2 linked regions of the Schizosaccharomyces pombe genome follow. The protein of the gene in region 2 purifies or fractionates together with the protein of the main gene of each other region. This does not show direct contact. Each region holds a gene or a part of one and is shown on either strand. Other genes may lie near its edges. The genes, in order: ppa1 and sgo1.

What was found.
Region 1: the proteins of sgo1 (region 2) and ppa1 purify together in Schizosaccharomyces pombe (affinity purification with mass spectrometry, with the first as the bait; one study listed by BioGRID). This does not show direct contact.

What each region holds. Positions count from the first base shown.
Region 1 is NC_003424.3:2,602,105-2,609,860, reverse strand, and holds ppa1 (serine/threonine protein phosphatase PP2A catalytic subunit Ppa1), read right to left. Parts: upstream 2,066-7,756; 5' UTR 1,903-2,065; exon of another isoform or gene 1,845-1,902; intron 1,773-1,844; 5' UTR 1,759-1,772; coding exon 829-1,758; 3' UTR 501-828; downstream 1-500. Other genes in the region: phosphatidylinositol-3,5-bisphosphate binding protein Atg1802, read left to right, coding at 1-339, 380-392; ptf1 (phosphoric monoester hydrolase), read right to left, coding at 2,672-3,206, 3,248-3,320, 3,544-3,582, 3,634-3,676; protein She9, read left to right, coding at 4,649-5,602; vps11 (HOPs complex subunit Pep5/Vps11), read right to left, coding at 5,899-7,756.
Region 2 is NC_003423.3:965,815-972,856, forward strand, and holds sgo1 (shugoshin Sgo1), read right to left. Parts: upstream 2,954-7,042; coding exon 2,853-2,953; exon of another isoform or gene 2,791-2,852; coding exon 1,932-2,790; 3' UTR 1,922-1,931; downstream 1-1,921. Other genes in the region: poteasome interacting protein Txc1, read left to right, coding at 897-1,520; SPOM_SPBP35G2.04C (uncharacterized protein), read right to left, coding at 3,194-3,451, 3,637-4,057, 4,150-4,220; serine/threonine protein kinase (CK1 family) Cki2, read right to left, coding at 5,143-6,105, 6,171-6,319, 6,387-6,456, 6,509-6,634.

The sequences.
Region 1 (7,756 bases), on a different chromosome or scaffold from region 2:
ATTTCACCCAGTTGAGCCTTTTCTGGCTTGTGCTTCTGAAAATGGTACTATTCACGTTTTCAAAATCTCTAAGCAACCATCGGATCCGAATTCGTCTCCTACATCTTCCGTAACTGTGTCATCTTCTTGGTCAAAATATTTAACTTCAAATGTAGCAAAAGTTTGGGACACTAGGAAAGAATTTGCAACTGCTAAGATTCCTGAAGCTTCTTTCTATGGAAAAATAATTTTTTCGAGCAGCGGTCCGCACATACAAGTAGCTTCTTATTCAGGACACTATTATCGGTTCGCAGTAAATCTTAAAAATGGAGGAAATTGTGCTTTACTTGAGCGTTACATGTAAGCTGTTTGTTAAATTTTCGATTATTAACATATCTAGCTTTGACGATTAACTTTTTGCGCACAAGTTTTAAATTTACTCATACATCAGCTTCACAATGTTTTAGCTTTCATGGTCTTATGTTTTTTTTTTATTTACTGAACATGCTATCATTTATGTTTAGACCTTTGTAGATAATTTATTAAAATGTTAATGTCGATAAGTTGGTGTTTCACTAATATATTATACACCGGTACAGATGTGAAAAATTATCATTACGGTAGACACCTTACAAGTGCATCATATATCCTATATAAATTTTATATGCATTCCATAAATTCAATATTTGTACCGAAACAGGAGAATTAAAAATTCGAAGATAACAACATTCTATTAGAAACCCATAAAATTAAAGTAAATTTTTAGCGGCACGTTGACAACGCTAAAATCCAACCATGAAAAATTCCAGCTATTAACAAGTCCAAGAAGAAAGTAAAACATACGATGACTTATAAGAAGTAATCGGGTGTTCTTCTGGTGACATGTAATTCCTCCTTTCGGGGAGCAGTATCATATTGGATAAATGCGTAATTTATGTGGTCATCAATTCCCATAATGGCTGCTTGGTTTCCACATCGATAACAATAATTGGGAGCAGAAAAAATAGTAACAACATTATGGTTTGTAGTCCAATTATAACCTTCCATAACTAGCTGATGAGCTCTTGCTATTAAATCTAAACCGTTATTATGGTTAAATGCTTCAGCAATATCCGGGCCAAACGTATACCCAGCACCTCGAGGAGAAATACCCCAACCAGGTCGGTCATCAGGATCTGACCATAACAAGTCGCATATCGGACCTTCATGAGGAACCTCTTGCACACGATCTAATATACGAACATGGTCAAGTGTATCAATACTAGGAGAAAGACCTCCGTGAAGGCAAAAAATTCGATCTTCAATTAGGGCGGTGAGAGGCAAATAGTCAAAAAGATCTGTAAAGTACTGCCAAACATTCGCATTTCCATACTTTCTAAGGCATTCATCATAAAATCCATAAACTTGTGTAATTTGCCTAGATTCATGGTTTCCACGTAATATTGTTATACGCTGGGGATATCGAATTTTAAAAGCAATCAGTAGAGAAACTGTTTCTACACTGTGATATCCTCTGTCAACATAATCTCCCATAAACAAATAATTTGTATCAGGTGAAGGGCCGCCAATATTGAACAACTCCATTAAGTCATGGAATTGTCCATGAATATCACCACAAACCGTTACAGGGCATCGGACGCTTTGAACGTTTGATTCTACAGAAAGTACCTCTTTTGCGAGATCACACATTTGAATGACATCTTCCTCTGAAAGAGGTTCGCATCGACTCAACTGTTCAATCCAACGATCGACCTCTCCAATTTTTCCAGAGACAGACATCTTGTTGAAAAAAACTTAAAGCAATAGTTAATAAACGACTAAATTTTTAATTAAAAAGAAAAGCATCCACAGAAAAATCCATAAGGGCTTTTCCGTTTGTATGCTATCCTGCGTTGAGCATGCGTTTTTCAACTTCCCACTTACGAATTCACTGGATGACGGGGGTATTGTAAGCTTATTCACTTTCTTGACAAAATAATGGTGTCTGAGGTACGTTTACTGTACATATACTGTATTTTATTATTTATTCGTTCGTATGTGGGAAAGAGAAATATTATGTTTTACAGACACGGTGGGGAGTTAGGTGAAGAAAGAAAATGATGCGAGTACGGGAAAATTTGTATGAAGGTTGAAAGGTATGGTAGTAGACAGGATACATAAAGTCACAATATTTCATGTTTTAAATTTTATTTCAATTTATTAATAACCAAAATATTACAGACATGGATTTCGTAATAGCAATTTTTTCTGCAAGCCCCTTAAAACATCATTACAAGTTTCCTGACTTTGAGTAACTTTACCAAACCAAAATATAACAATATGCGTGATCTACATTATGTTATACTCGCTACCTTATTTCGGCGATCTCACGACCAAAAGACGCAAAATTTAATATCTCTTTATTTTCTTTCTTAAAAAAAATAAAGAGATATTGTAGCAATGCGACCACTTACGGACTGATATGATATAGGATTTTTCATACAAGACTCGCAAATGGATGAGTATATAAATACAAATTATGTTAAATCATTGCTTCTAACAACCCAAACTAATCGAACCGTTGGTGAATGATGCATTTAAATTGCTATGAGGACCTGCTTGAAACTAAGTTTCGAGGCGCTGATAACAAATATCTATCAACTTTAGGTATAAAAATGTTGAAGTACGAAAACTTCTTAGGTATTATTCAGATTTAACTGCTAAAGAATAATTTTTGCAAATCTTTATGGATATCAGCAAAGGTTTCGAATTCAGAGAAAGAAATTTTCTCCCTTTCACAATATTTAATTAAATCACGTCCTTTCTTGGCAAACAAGTGTTCTGTTTCCTTCGCAGCACTCAAATCGGAAACACCATCTCCGCAATAGACCATGTGAGGACGTTTACTTTCTGGCAATTGAGCATACGGACGGATAGTAAGGCTTTTGTCGTGTCCAAAATGACTGTCATCATGATACACAATGTTCCATTGACCATCAGGATGCACATTGATGTCATTAGAAACAATTTCAATACTACTTGCTTCTTCTTTGCCAAGGTATTGCTCAAAAAGTGCACGAATAAAAGGCTCCATACCACTTGAAAGGATGATTACACGAATGTCTTGAGACTTACACCATTCATAGAATGGTTTAAATGATGGATCAATGGCGACATTCTTCTTGAGAACCTCCAAAGCTTCATCATAGCTTAAATGCACTGAATCCAACATCTTCGCGAAAGCATCACTATGAATTGTTAAGAGTTGATTTACGCGTCAAACGCTTACCGAAAAGAAATGGAACCGTCAAGAACTTGTTGATTTAGATTCACACGGTTGGCGTTGCCCATTCCAAAGTTGTCTAAAACATAGTTAGTAAACCGTCGCCGTCGAGTGTTGCAGTAATAAAGCATTCAAGGTGGGCAGGGAAATTTTTGACCCAATGTTATAAAATCATAGATTTCTCTTACAGATTTTCGTAAATCTTCAATAAATATTCAGTTAAGCTTAATTGTAAGAACATTTTCTAACTACCTTTATACATCTTTTTATATCTGTAACAATCTTCCTATTCCCAACCTTACCAGTTAAGTAGTCATTGGAATCCTGGAGTGTAATAGTTCCTAGACCCCAAAAGTTAGTTGTCTGTTTTTATTGAAATTATTTTTTCATACCGTCAAAGTCACTGAATACGTATAACTGCTTTTTCTGAGCCATAGTCCAAATCTTTTTGAATTGCTGAAATTGCTTGCTTTGTACAGCTATCCAACTCTAGGATTTAAAGTAACGAAACTTACCAGCACTGATATAAAGTTTGTTGTTTATTCCGTGATTAGCAAGCAGTCGTTTGTTCGAGTCATGATAAATGTCATATTTTATCTTTTATATGCAAAAAAATGAAATTCTTAAAGTAATTTACAGTCTTCTTTATTTTAAAGGGCTGCAGATTAAAAATCGAAATTAGTGTAGAGGTTGAATTAACTTAAAGCATATATTTATCAAAGAAAAGAAATGATATTCTATATTTCTGCAAGGGGTAAACGATATCCTCAGTACGTTTTACCATAAATCCTAAGAAAAGTGGCCCAAGCCTTGTAAAGTGAAGTGTAATTTTTTTTTTTTTTGTTTTTTCTTTTTAAATTTCAAATGCTTTTTACATCTACAACATTCTCTCAAGCGTGAGTTTCGCTTATCCTAATGTTAGCTACGCAGTTTCGTATTCGTTTTAATGATACGTAGAACTGCGGTGAGTTTTCCTTGTGACCTATAATATCGCAATACACAGATAATATAAGTAGCAACTGAGTGTAGGTATTGTATTAACAAGGTTATAATGTTACCTATCACTGGTATAGCTTGTAACTGAACTGAGGAACGAGGTTTAGCAGTAGCTCTATTTATAGTATTCAGATGATATAAATATTAATAGATTATCATTAAGATCAGTCTCAATATCGTATCATACATAGTACGATATTTAATTAGGACATGTGACATATAGTGATACGCAACGTAAGTATTATAGCGTATTATAGTATTGCTGATACCTAACTATAAATAGCATATTCTAAGCTGTTTATGAATATTTCCGTAAACCAGCTTTATGGCTGGTGCAGCAGTACATTATGTTTAACTCACTATATGAAGACATGAAAGGATATAACAGTAATGTATAAGTATTAAGAAAGTATGTTGCAACGACTTTCTCAGTCTATTAAGGGATTTGCTGCTCGCTTTCCCAAAATCTATAATAAAGGAAATGGATCAGTTCAACAGACTATACTCCAAGCGAGTCAACGCTTGAATGAATTAACTGGTTATTCCTCCATTGAGGCATTAAAGAACGCGGTTGTAAAGCAGGAGACAAAGCTCCGTGATTTTAGATTATCTGCAGCTGAAGCAAGAAAGCGTTATATTGAAGCGGTTGAAAAAAGATCGTCAAGTCAACGTGAAGTCAACGAATTGTTACAACGACGTAGTAGCTGGTCTACTATTGATTTAGAAAGATTTACTAAACTATACCGTGATGATTATTCAAACAAAGAAGAAGAAATTAAGGCTCAAGAAGATGTGGATGTAGCGGAAAGGCGGGTAGAGGAAGCTCAAAATGGATTGGTGCGTTCGATTTTATCGAGATACCACGAAGAACAAGTTTGGAGTGATAAAATCCGGCAAGCAAGTACCTGGGGTACATGGGGATTAATGGGAATTAACGTTGTTCTTTTTGTGGTCGTTCAACTAATATTGGAACCAAGGAAAAGGAAACGGTTGGTTCGTGAAGCTGTGGATCACATTGACAAGGAACGAGAACTTGAAATAAATGATGAACTGAAAAAGATTTCCGAGAAACTTGATAAAAAAGGTGAAGCTGTCGGCCAAGCATTAGAGCTTACTTCTCCGAAAATTGACAATAAAAACCTTCCCAAAAATTCTGCGTCCTTAATTCTTCCTCCTATTAATTACGATACGTTTCACTCTTTTTTGGATTCGCTAAAATATTTCCTATCTCGCTTTTTGTCTACAGACTACCGCATTCAATTGACTTATCGTCAACTGTCTATTCTGGCGACCAAATTTACGGTAGGCGGTGGAGTTATTATTTACACCTTTATTCACTTGTTTGGTTTAGCATTCAAGCGTTGAATTATTTACATTAACAATCGTTAATTACAAGATTTTATGGTAAAGGTTTTATAGATTACAAGTTTTAAAAAGAGCAGATATTTGCGTTATGAGCAAAGCAGATGTATATCTTCATTTATTCAAACTAAGAAACCTTATCAGAGAATCCAAGTGTAACTACCTAATTCCATTTTGCCAAAAAAAATATTAATGAAATATTCTTAATCATAATTTTGACTTGAGTAACTTATTTCGTACAATAAATAATGCATTACTTCCATTCTTTCTTTGTATTTAATTTTCATATTTTTGACTCATTATAACCATCGACAACGAATACATTCATCTTCAACACACCGCTGATGATACGAATGTCCACAGCGAAAATGTACCATAGGTAACTCTAAATCGATTCCACAGGTAGAGCATTTAGACTCTTGCACGACAAATGCTCTTGTACGAAGAATTGAAAGTTGACTAGTAATTTCTTCAATATCCCGCTTACCCATTTCAATAGCCTCATTTTGTTTCGAGATTGATTCACGATAATTGTCAAGAACAGATTGCATTGAGTCACTAATGTGCTCGAGCTTGATATTGACTGATTTTCCAAGAATGTCTAACAATTGTGTTGGCGAAATAAGACGTTGAGAAACAATTATGTTAACTATTTCGTTGATATCCTGATACCAACTATCAACGTTTTCTAAAGACGCAAAACAGTTCAACATCATGATGTACAACTCTTGCTGATCTGGACCATGAACACGAACCATTTTTAATGCCCGTTCAATATCGTTTTGCTGACAGAAAGAGCGAAATATATCAAGCGTTTGACCCGATTTTCCTTGAACAAAACGAACCCCGTCATCAAATCCTAGAATTTGAGATATTAAAAAGACTGCATTAAGGTCTACGTTTTTTTCTACTTTTTTTAGAAGGGAATTAGACTTTTCTTGCCAAAATTCTTGCTTTTCAACGTTTGAGGACGCAAATGATTCTCTTATATACGCTTCGAAAAGACATGTATTAATGAGAGTCTTGTAATTTGGTGATGCATTTGGTAATATTCCTTCCAGAAATGAAATCAATTCTGAGTTATGATTTAAAAAAATATGAAAGCAGGTTTGTGGACTTGGTGCAGTATAAGAAACATCCTCTGAAAACAATGCTGCACGTTGATTTTCCTCTTGAGAAGGAGAAATTTCGTATAAACTAGGAGGTAAACTAAAGTTAGCAACCTGTGCATAGGGAAGTAGTGAAAGATAAGTTTGTCTCAAAGATTTCGCAGTCTTAAGTTCACCTTTAGATTCAGAGGTAGATAAATCCCCTCTGTGAGAATTGGAGTAAAATTGTATAAAAATATTGGTCGTTTTTTCAGGCAGTTTATCTAATAAAACTCGGCCATATTTTAAAAGCAATGGAAGCAAATTTGAAGGGGGTAAACTTTCGAAAAACCTTAATGCTTCAGAATACTGTTCACTTTCAACCAGAACATCTAAAACCCGCTCGTTATTATTGAAACGTATTGCTAAATGCTTCGCTTCATCTAACAAATTAGAATCGTAACAAATTTTAAATGCTTGATCAAAATCAATTTCACCTATGTCAATAAGTTTCCTAATTGAAGGGGAGTCATGTATCTCAACATAACAAGATAATAGCAATAATCGGTGATCAGAAGTCGCTAAACCCGTCTTTATAAGTTCTTCAAGAAGACGGATAAGTTGCTTAATTTCTTGAGCTTTCAAAAATTCAAGACATACGGAAGGAATGTCGATCGACTTAATAGAACGTATATACCAATCCATAGAAGCCGAAAAGTCACCTCTACGGAAAAGAAAGGAGGCATAATCTCGCATTAATGATTCTCTAAATTCAATGTCCATATTTTCTTTTTTGGCTAAAGATATTGCCAAGTTGTACATCATTTTTTGGCAAAGCAGCGAAATCTCTTCTTGCAAAGTGATTCGTTTTAACTCAAAAACGTTATCATCAGCGGTCACTACCAAAAACCCATGTTTTAATGGCAAGATTGAAACAGCAACATCCTTCAGATGACCTTCCCAAACAATGAGGTTTCTAGAAAGATCAACAAGGAGGAGACGTGGAGGAAACGCAGGATTACGCGATGCGTCCGCTTTTCTTATTGAACTTGACGATGAAAATGACTTT
Region 2 (7,042 bases):
CTGTAACTTTGTCACGTGTCACCGTTCATTATTCTTGCATGTTCAAGCAACCGGTTTTTATCAAAATCCTATACATATATATTGTTACAATGAGCGCCACACGGCCCACATCCTACCCGCCTGGATAGAAACAATGTTACCAAGGAAGAACTTTGGTGTTGTCTTTTTCATGGGCCTTTTAGCTTAGTTGTTCGTATGCCTTGAAATTCTGTTCCTCATACAGTGCTACAAAAGTCTCGCTAATTTAACGTTGAAATTTCTACACTTTCTTTCATCTACCACGTAGAAATTTACGACTGAATAACTTTTTTTTGCGAGAAAACCAAAAAAAAAACAAAAAGGCCCCTTTATATTTATGTATAGATTTTCTTTTATTTATTTTTTAAAATTCTGGTATTCATACTATTCATCGAATATTTTCAAGTTGGTGTTTAAAAGTCAGTAAGGAGGTTGTTTGCTTATACTGTCAACGTTTCTTTGGTACAAAAGTGAGTTTTCGGTTATTGTCTCAAAATCAAAATTTTTTAAAAAGCAATAAAATAATTCATCGTTAAAAAACTACTTTTATATTCTTTCTTTTCAGTTTTGAATTCTGATTTTGATTCCATTTTTGTTTTTCTTTTGCTGAAGACTAGTAAAGCTTCTAAGAAAAATATTTTAACGCATAACGTACTTCTGGTCTCGGGAGGCTTTTTCGCCATATTTTTCCGCTTTTGGTTTTCTTCCTATTAGTTGTTTTGTTTGAGTATTTGCTTCCGAGTGTCGGTCTTACGTCTTAGTGTGCTCGCAAATAACTTTCCCTTTTACTTTTTGTTAGCGAGTTTACCGTTTATTTATTCACCTATCAACTCGCCTAGTCTTGCATTTTTAACGATTTCCTTAGAAGTTTGTACTAAATGTCTGGCCCTCACCATTGTTCCGCTGACTGTGATGAACATCCGTTTGAGTCTGGTCCAAATGATACCTTGTATTCTTGCATCCGAAAGGAATCAATTGTTACGCTGAATGAAGCTGTACCAGATTCCGGAAAACTCGTCTTCAAACCTTGGGACCTTCGTTATGATGACACTGATATCGTAGAAAGTGATGCTGATGACCAACTCTTGTTTCAGGTACCGTTTGCAGGTGCGGCAACACTAAAATCAATTTTGGTTCGCATTTTTCCTAATGAAACCGCTCCACACTCCTTTTCACTTTTTCCCAATCGTACCGACTTGGATTTTGACACAATCGGTGATGTCCAAGCCACTGAAACATTTGAATTTCCCTTGACTTTTGAAGGAAGCCATATCTTCGAGTTTCCTGTTAAGACTCGTCTCTATCAAAACCTTCAAAATCTCAATATCTTCTTCACCAAAAGCGACGGTTCTGATGATCCTACACAAATCGCCTACATTGGTCTTCGTGGTTCTTTTGTTCCCTTCAAGGGTGATCCTGTTGTAACCATTTACGAAGCTACTCCTAGACCTTCAGATCATCCCAAAGTTAACCAAGAGGAGGTTTTCCGTTCTTACTATTAAGCTCCCGGGAAGTTTAGATTCCTTCCTTTTGGTTTTTTCCTCTCTTATTTGAGATTTTTGTTTTACCCAAAGCAAAATAAAAAATATATATGAAACGATACGAATACGCTTTGATTTGGATTTTTTTTAATGACGGTTATTTAAAGAATATCTAACGCCCTTTTTCTTTTCTTTTTCTTAAATGGCTAAGTCTCCATACTTTTTTAGCTTATGTTTAAATGTTGGTTTGTATTTATTGGCCGATTAATTATGTGTTTATGTAAAAGAAATGAGCCTTGATTAGGTTCTTTTTTTCTTCCTCTATTATTTTTTGTTTTTCTCTTGAATTTAAATGTTGCTTGCAGTAGATTAAATTATAAATTAGCTGTGCTATAAATGTGAAAATATTTAACAATGTGACCTCAATATAATTTATGCTTTGCCTCTGGGATGTCGTTTGCGTTTTCTATCAGATGGTAAGTCAAAGTCTCGTCGTAGTTTAGTTCGCAAACTGGGTATTGCATAGTTTATCACTTTGACTGATCGTCTTAGTTTTTCACGTCCATTAATCCTTGGTTGAGATTCTTCAAAATCACATGGGGAGCTGTCTCCGGTTGCTTGTCCTTTAAGGTCAGTTATCTGTTCAGCACTTTTACAAGGAATACAAACACAAACATTTGATGTTTTAGCCTTTTCTTCTTCAGTTTCGCCCTCGTTGATGGATTCAAATTCGTTTTCTTTTAATTCCTTTGAAAAGATGGTGATATTTTTTTGCGGCAATGAGTAATTCACCTCATCTTGTGGTATTTTGTTTACGTGGGCATTGGTTTTATCTTTTAATATACATTTTCCAGGTTTTTCAGATAGAGCCGGAGGACCATGGACTTTTTTTTGGAAATCTTGAAAACAATACAATGGTTGCCCTGTTTCGAGACTTTTAAGTTCATCATTAAATGATACATACTCCAAGCGTTTATTATGCAAAATCTGATAATCTTCTTTCGAATCTTTATTTTCACAGGTTGTAAATTGACTTTTTACATTCGCTTCGAGGAAATCTGATGAACACTTTTTCTCTATAATCTTCAGTAAACTTTGCACTTGTGAAATCTTTTTGTGAATGGTTTGTATCTCAGGAAAGAAGTTTTTTAACAAGTCCTCAGTTTGAGATTGATTGCGAAATCGAGCTTCAAGTTTAACCAAATAACTTTTCAAAGTGAAATTTTCTTGTATCAAATCTTGAATTTCGTTTTCAGATTCTCTAATTTTTATAGAAAGCTGAGTATTTATTCTGAAAGTTAGATGTTTATTATTTACCACAAGGGATTCAAAAATGGTGTACTTTGACCTTACTTTATAATTTCACGATTTTGTTTTAAAAATTTCTTTTTCAACGACTCCATCGGCAATTTATCTTCATTGTTTATATTTGAATTTATAAATTGAAAGTTCATAGCTTTTTTAAAGCTTTTTTTGCGAAAAGCAATTAAGGACTTGCTGATGTAAACAAACCTGTTAAGTGTAAGGTAAACAATCGCAAACTAAAGTCTTGTCATATTGAGAAAGGCTCTTTTCTTTAAGGAACTTGCCAAATCAATGTAAATTAGTATATAATAAATTAGATGAAAGATGGTTGTACGACTTAATGCAGCCCATATCCTGAATAAAAATTGATAAAAAGAACATAAAATTAATTACTGCTTCGCTATCCGACAATATCCATCCAACTCCTGAGAGATTAAATGTAATATTCGACGAATTCTTTCATCAAACTTTTGGAAATAATGATGCAATTGTGAGAAATTAGATTCGTCCGTGGTCTTTCCTATTGCTATAAAGTTAGAGGACAAGGGAGCTTTATACTTTTTGAAAACACCTCTAAAGAATTCATAAGCTTCCAGTATACTGGTGAGATAACCATGAAAAACAGTACAAAAACTGAGATCGTAAGTCTAAGTAAGTAGTCGGTTAGTATGCATCATTAAGAAAACGTGTTAAACATTGGCATATTATATCAACGAACGTTGAATTTAACTACATGCAAAGGTATAACATTATCAACCCTAAAAATTGCAGATACGTCTTTTGGATAAGATCCCTTACATAGTAGTCCGCTTAAAATTTATGTAAAACTTACTATAGGTAAAAGCTCCATGTTCTTGCTAGCATGGTCTTTTCCAAAAGGGTATCTTATGCTGTCTAATATTGCTCGAAAATGTGAAATGCTCCTGGTCGTAACGTAAAACCCTTTTTCAGTCAACAAATAATTCCGAAACTCAGCCGTAGTAATATAAATGGAACGAGCAACGTCTTTAGCATCGCCATCGGATTCCTGAATTAGACATTGTATGTTTCTAGCATGAGATAACAAAGCGACCGTTCTAACTGTTAGCCATAAAATGGTAAAGAGTTTCTTATAAAAATGTAATCGTATTAAAATGGGTAGGTTAATACCAGATACGAACCTTTTTTTAAAATTGTTTCTAACCATAAACGAGTCAAGTGCTTTTCGGTCAAGTGAGACTCCATGGAAGCGAATTTTATCATTTTTAGAAAATCTAATAAAGTTAGTAAGTAAACTCATAAATCATTCACTTTAAATTTTAAAACTTCAGGCGACAAACACAGAAATTCTTATAATTACACACACATTTCAAAAAACTTGGCTATATATGCTTCATTTTTATTAATTCTATCCTCAATGGAGCTATTAGATATCATATTTCGAAGCCGCTCTTGTCAATTTTAGACTCAAATCGTTTAACACACATGCACATGCATGTGCACGCACTAAGAAGTTAGAAAAGGGAGATCTATTTAACACCTGATAAAACTTGGGTTAAAACTTCAAGTCTACAGTCTTGATACGAAATTATATCTACGCCATAGAGAAAAAAAAATAAAAATTACATACTATGGTTTGACAGATTTTAGCGTTAGTTTTTGAAGAGGTCGTATACAGCATATTAGGTATACGCTGCAGTAATTATAACCCAATAAGTCAAAATTTTTTCTTTATTTGTTGCTGATTGTTTCCTTTACTAAAAAGGGATTTACCATTACTCAAAAGAAATTACCTAGTTTCCAATAAATCATATGGCATTTGTCCAGTTCAAATACTTTAAGACACGTATAGTTTATTTTTTGAATGTCCAGCTAAAAAATATATTACACGAATCAGTATAAAAAGAATTCCTTTCTTTTATTCTATTTATTTGTAATTGAAAACGAATTAGCTTCCGTTGTCATTTTACCAATTGTTAGTACCTAGAATACATATGGTTTGGTTATATATGTGTATGTATATATTATTTACTACAATAGTACAATGTCAGTTTTAAGACAATATTGAGTTATGTTAAAGGAAAGCAACATTAAAAGATTAAACGAGAACCAGCAAAGTAGGCTAGTGCCAGCAAATTTGCAATCGAAATAATTAAAGAATTTGATTTAAGCACCCGCTCAAAGACGCTATACAGCGTTTCTCAAATTAATATTAAAAAAAGATGAACCATTTATCCCGTACTCTGAAAACCAAATCATCAAATGATTGATATTGTGAAAGCATATCTACCGCATAGTAGAACAACACTTATTTAAGTTAAGAAAGTGAGTGACTCTAACAATAGTTGAAGCTTCGAAACTAAGAAAAGCAACGACAGCATATCATATCAAAAAATCCTCCTTTTGCTTCCGAATCAGAATTATCGTTAGGATGATTTACTCCGACTGCATTATTCGAGGGCTGAGATACATACATAGGTCGAACCCTATCGTAACCTCTAGAAGAATGAGCATAAATTGTTTTTTTAGAAGCAGACTGTTCTTGACGCACCAATGGAGCGTTTTTGCTCGGCAACGCATCGAACGATGAGTAATTTCTAGGACCTCTCACCCCATATGAGGATTTAAATCGCATGTTCTGTGTTTGCAAAGTACTGTTCTTTTTTCTGGAATCATCATTTTGAACAACATTTAAGCCAAGGTAATTCTTTCGTCGCTTCATAGCAACAACAGAAAAATGAGAAGAGCTTGACTCCCAACCTTTACCGTCATTCAATAACATCCAATCATAAACCCCATCATTCGTATCACCATTTGCTCGAAGTACATCATCAAATAACTCTTGTAAAAACGCATAATCCGGTTCTTCATCAAATTCTAACGAACGCACATAAGTCATGTATTTACTGAATTCATTAGGAAATCCAGCACAAAGCTCACTAATGGAGGTAGATTGCTTCTTTTCACTAATCTTTTCGTATTTGTGCTTATTGTTGGCAGCTTTCAATCCTTGCCAAGGTAAACTTCCCCTCAAAAAATACATAAAGACGTGTCCCAACGATTCTAAGTCATCGCGACGGGATTGTTCACGTCCAAGATGCGTGTTTATACTCATATATCTCGCAGTCCCCGAGAGGCTTTTACGTTCACTATATGGTATATGTTGCTTGGTTTTGGGATCACGGTAATATTTGGCCATACCAAAATCAACCATATATACCATGTTTGCATTTCGAGAGGAAGGTCGGCCTATTAGGAAATTATCGGGTTTGATGTCTCTATAAACAAGGTTTTTTTCATGAATCGTCTGAACTCTGGAAAGCTTTGAAATGTCAGAGAAAATTTAAACAAATTGAAAACCTTATAGGAACAACTTAGGAAACTTACCATCTGTTTCGCCGTCATAGCCACCGTTTTGACACTGAATCGACGACCGCACCATTCAAATAGGTCCTCTAAACTAGGTCCCAGTAAATCAATAACAAGGATATTATGTAGTCCTTCCTGCCCGAAATAGTAAACATTAGGAATGCCAGCTATTTGCAAATACGGTTAGTACCAAAGTCTTGACCATATGTTTTGGGTAGCAAAATAAAAACATACCATTTCCAACTAGTAATTTATAAGTTCTGTATTCATCACGGAGCTGAGGTGCCTCCGACTTTTTGGGTTCCTAACGTCCATTGTTAGTATTGTCCATATACTCATCCTAACAAAGAACATACAAATTTTATAGCAATAAGTTGGTTATTCAAAAGATTCATCCCATCGAAAATAACACCAAACGATCCCTCACCTATTTTACGACCCACGCGATAGTGAACCCCTACTACGCTCGTTTGGGAATTCATGATAAATAACCCTGTCACAAGGAATTGACCGAACAGATAAAATTTTTTTTATTGCAAGGACTATGCAGTTTTTATGTAGTCAATTTGTAGCCTCACTAACAAATGCCACACAAATCTCAGTTTGTTTTCACTGCATTCACCACAGAGATTGAAGTCCAATTGCGATTCAGTAGCCGACCAAAAACAACAAAATTTAGAAAACCAATTACTATAATTTAATAGAAGTTACAGGCTTTCTTTCGACTAACAAATGATTATGTGGTTTGAGTGTTTTAGTGGACGTTAGTTGTAAGGTGTACTTGGATGCAACACACTAGGCCTTAGCTTAATTTCCAACGTAAGGGTGAGGCTATCCAGGACAGGGAAAAAGCCCCGAAGGCGCAATCATCATAATAAATCAAGAATCTA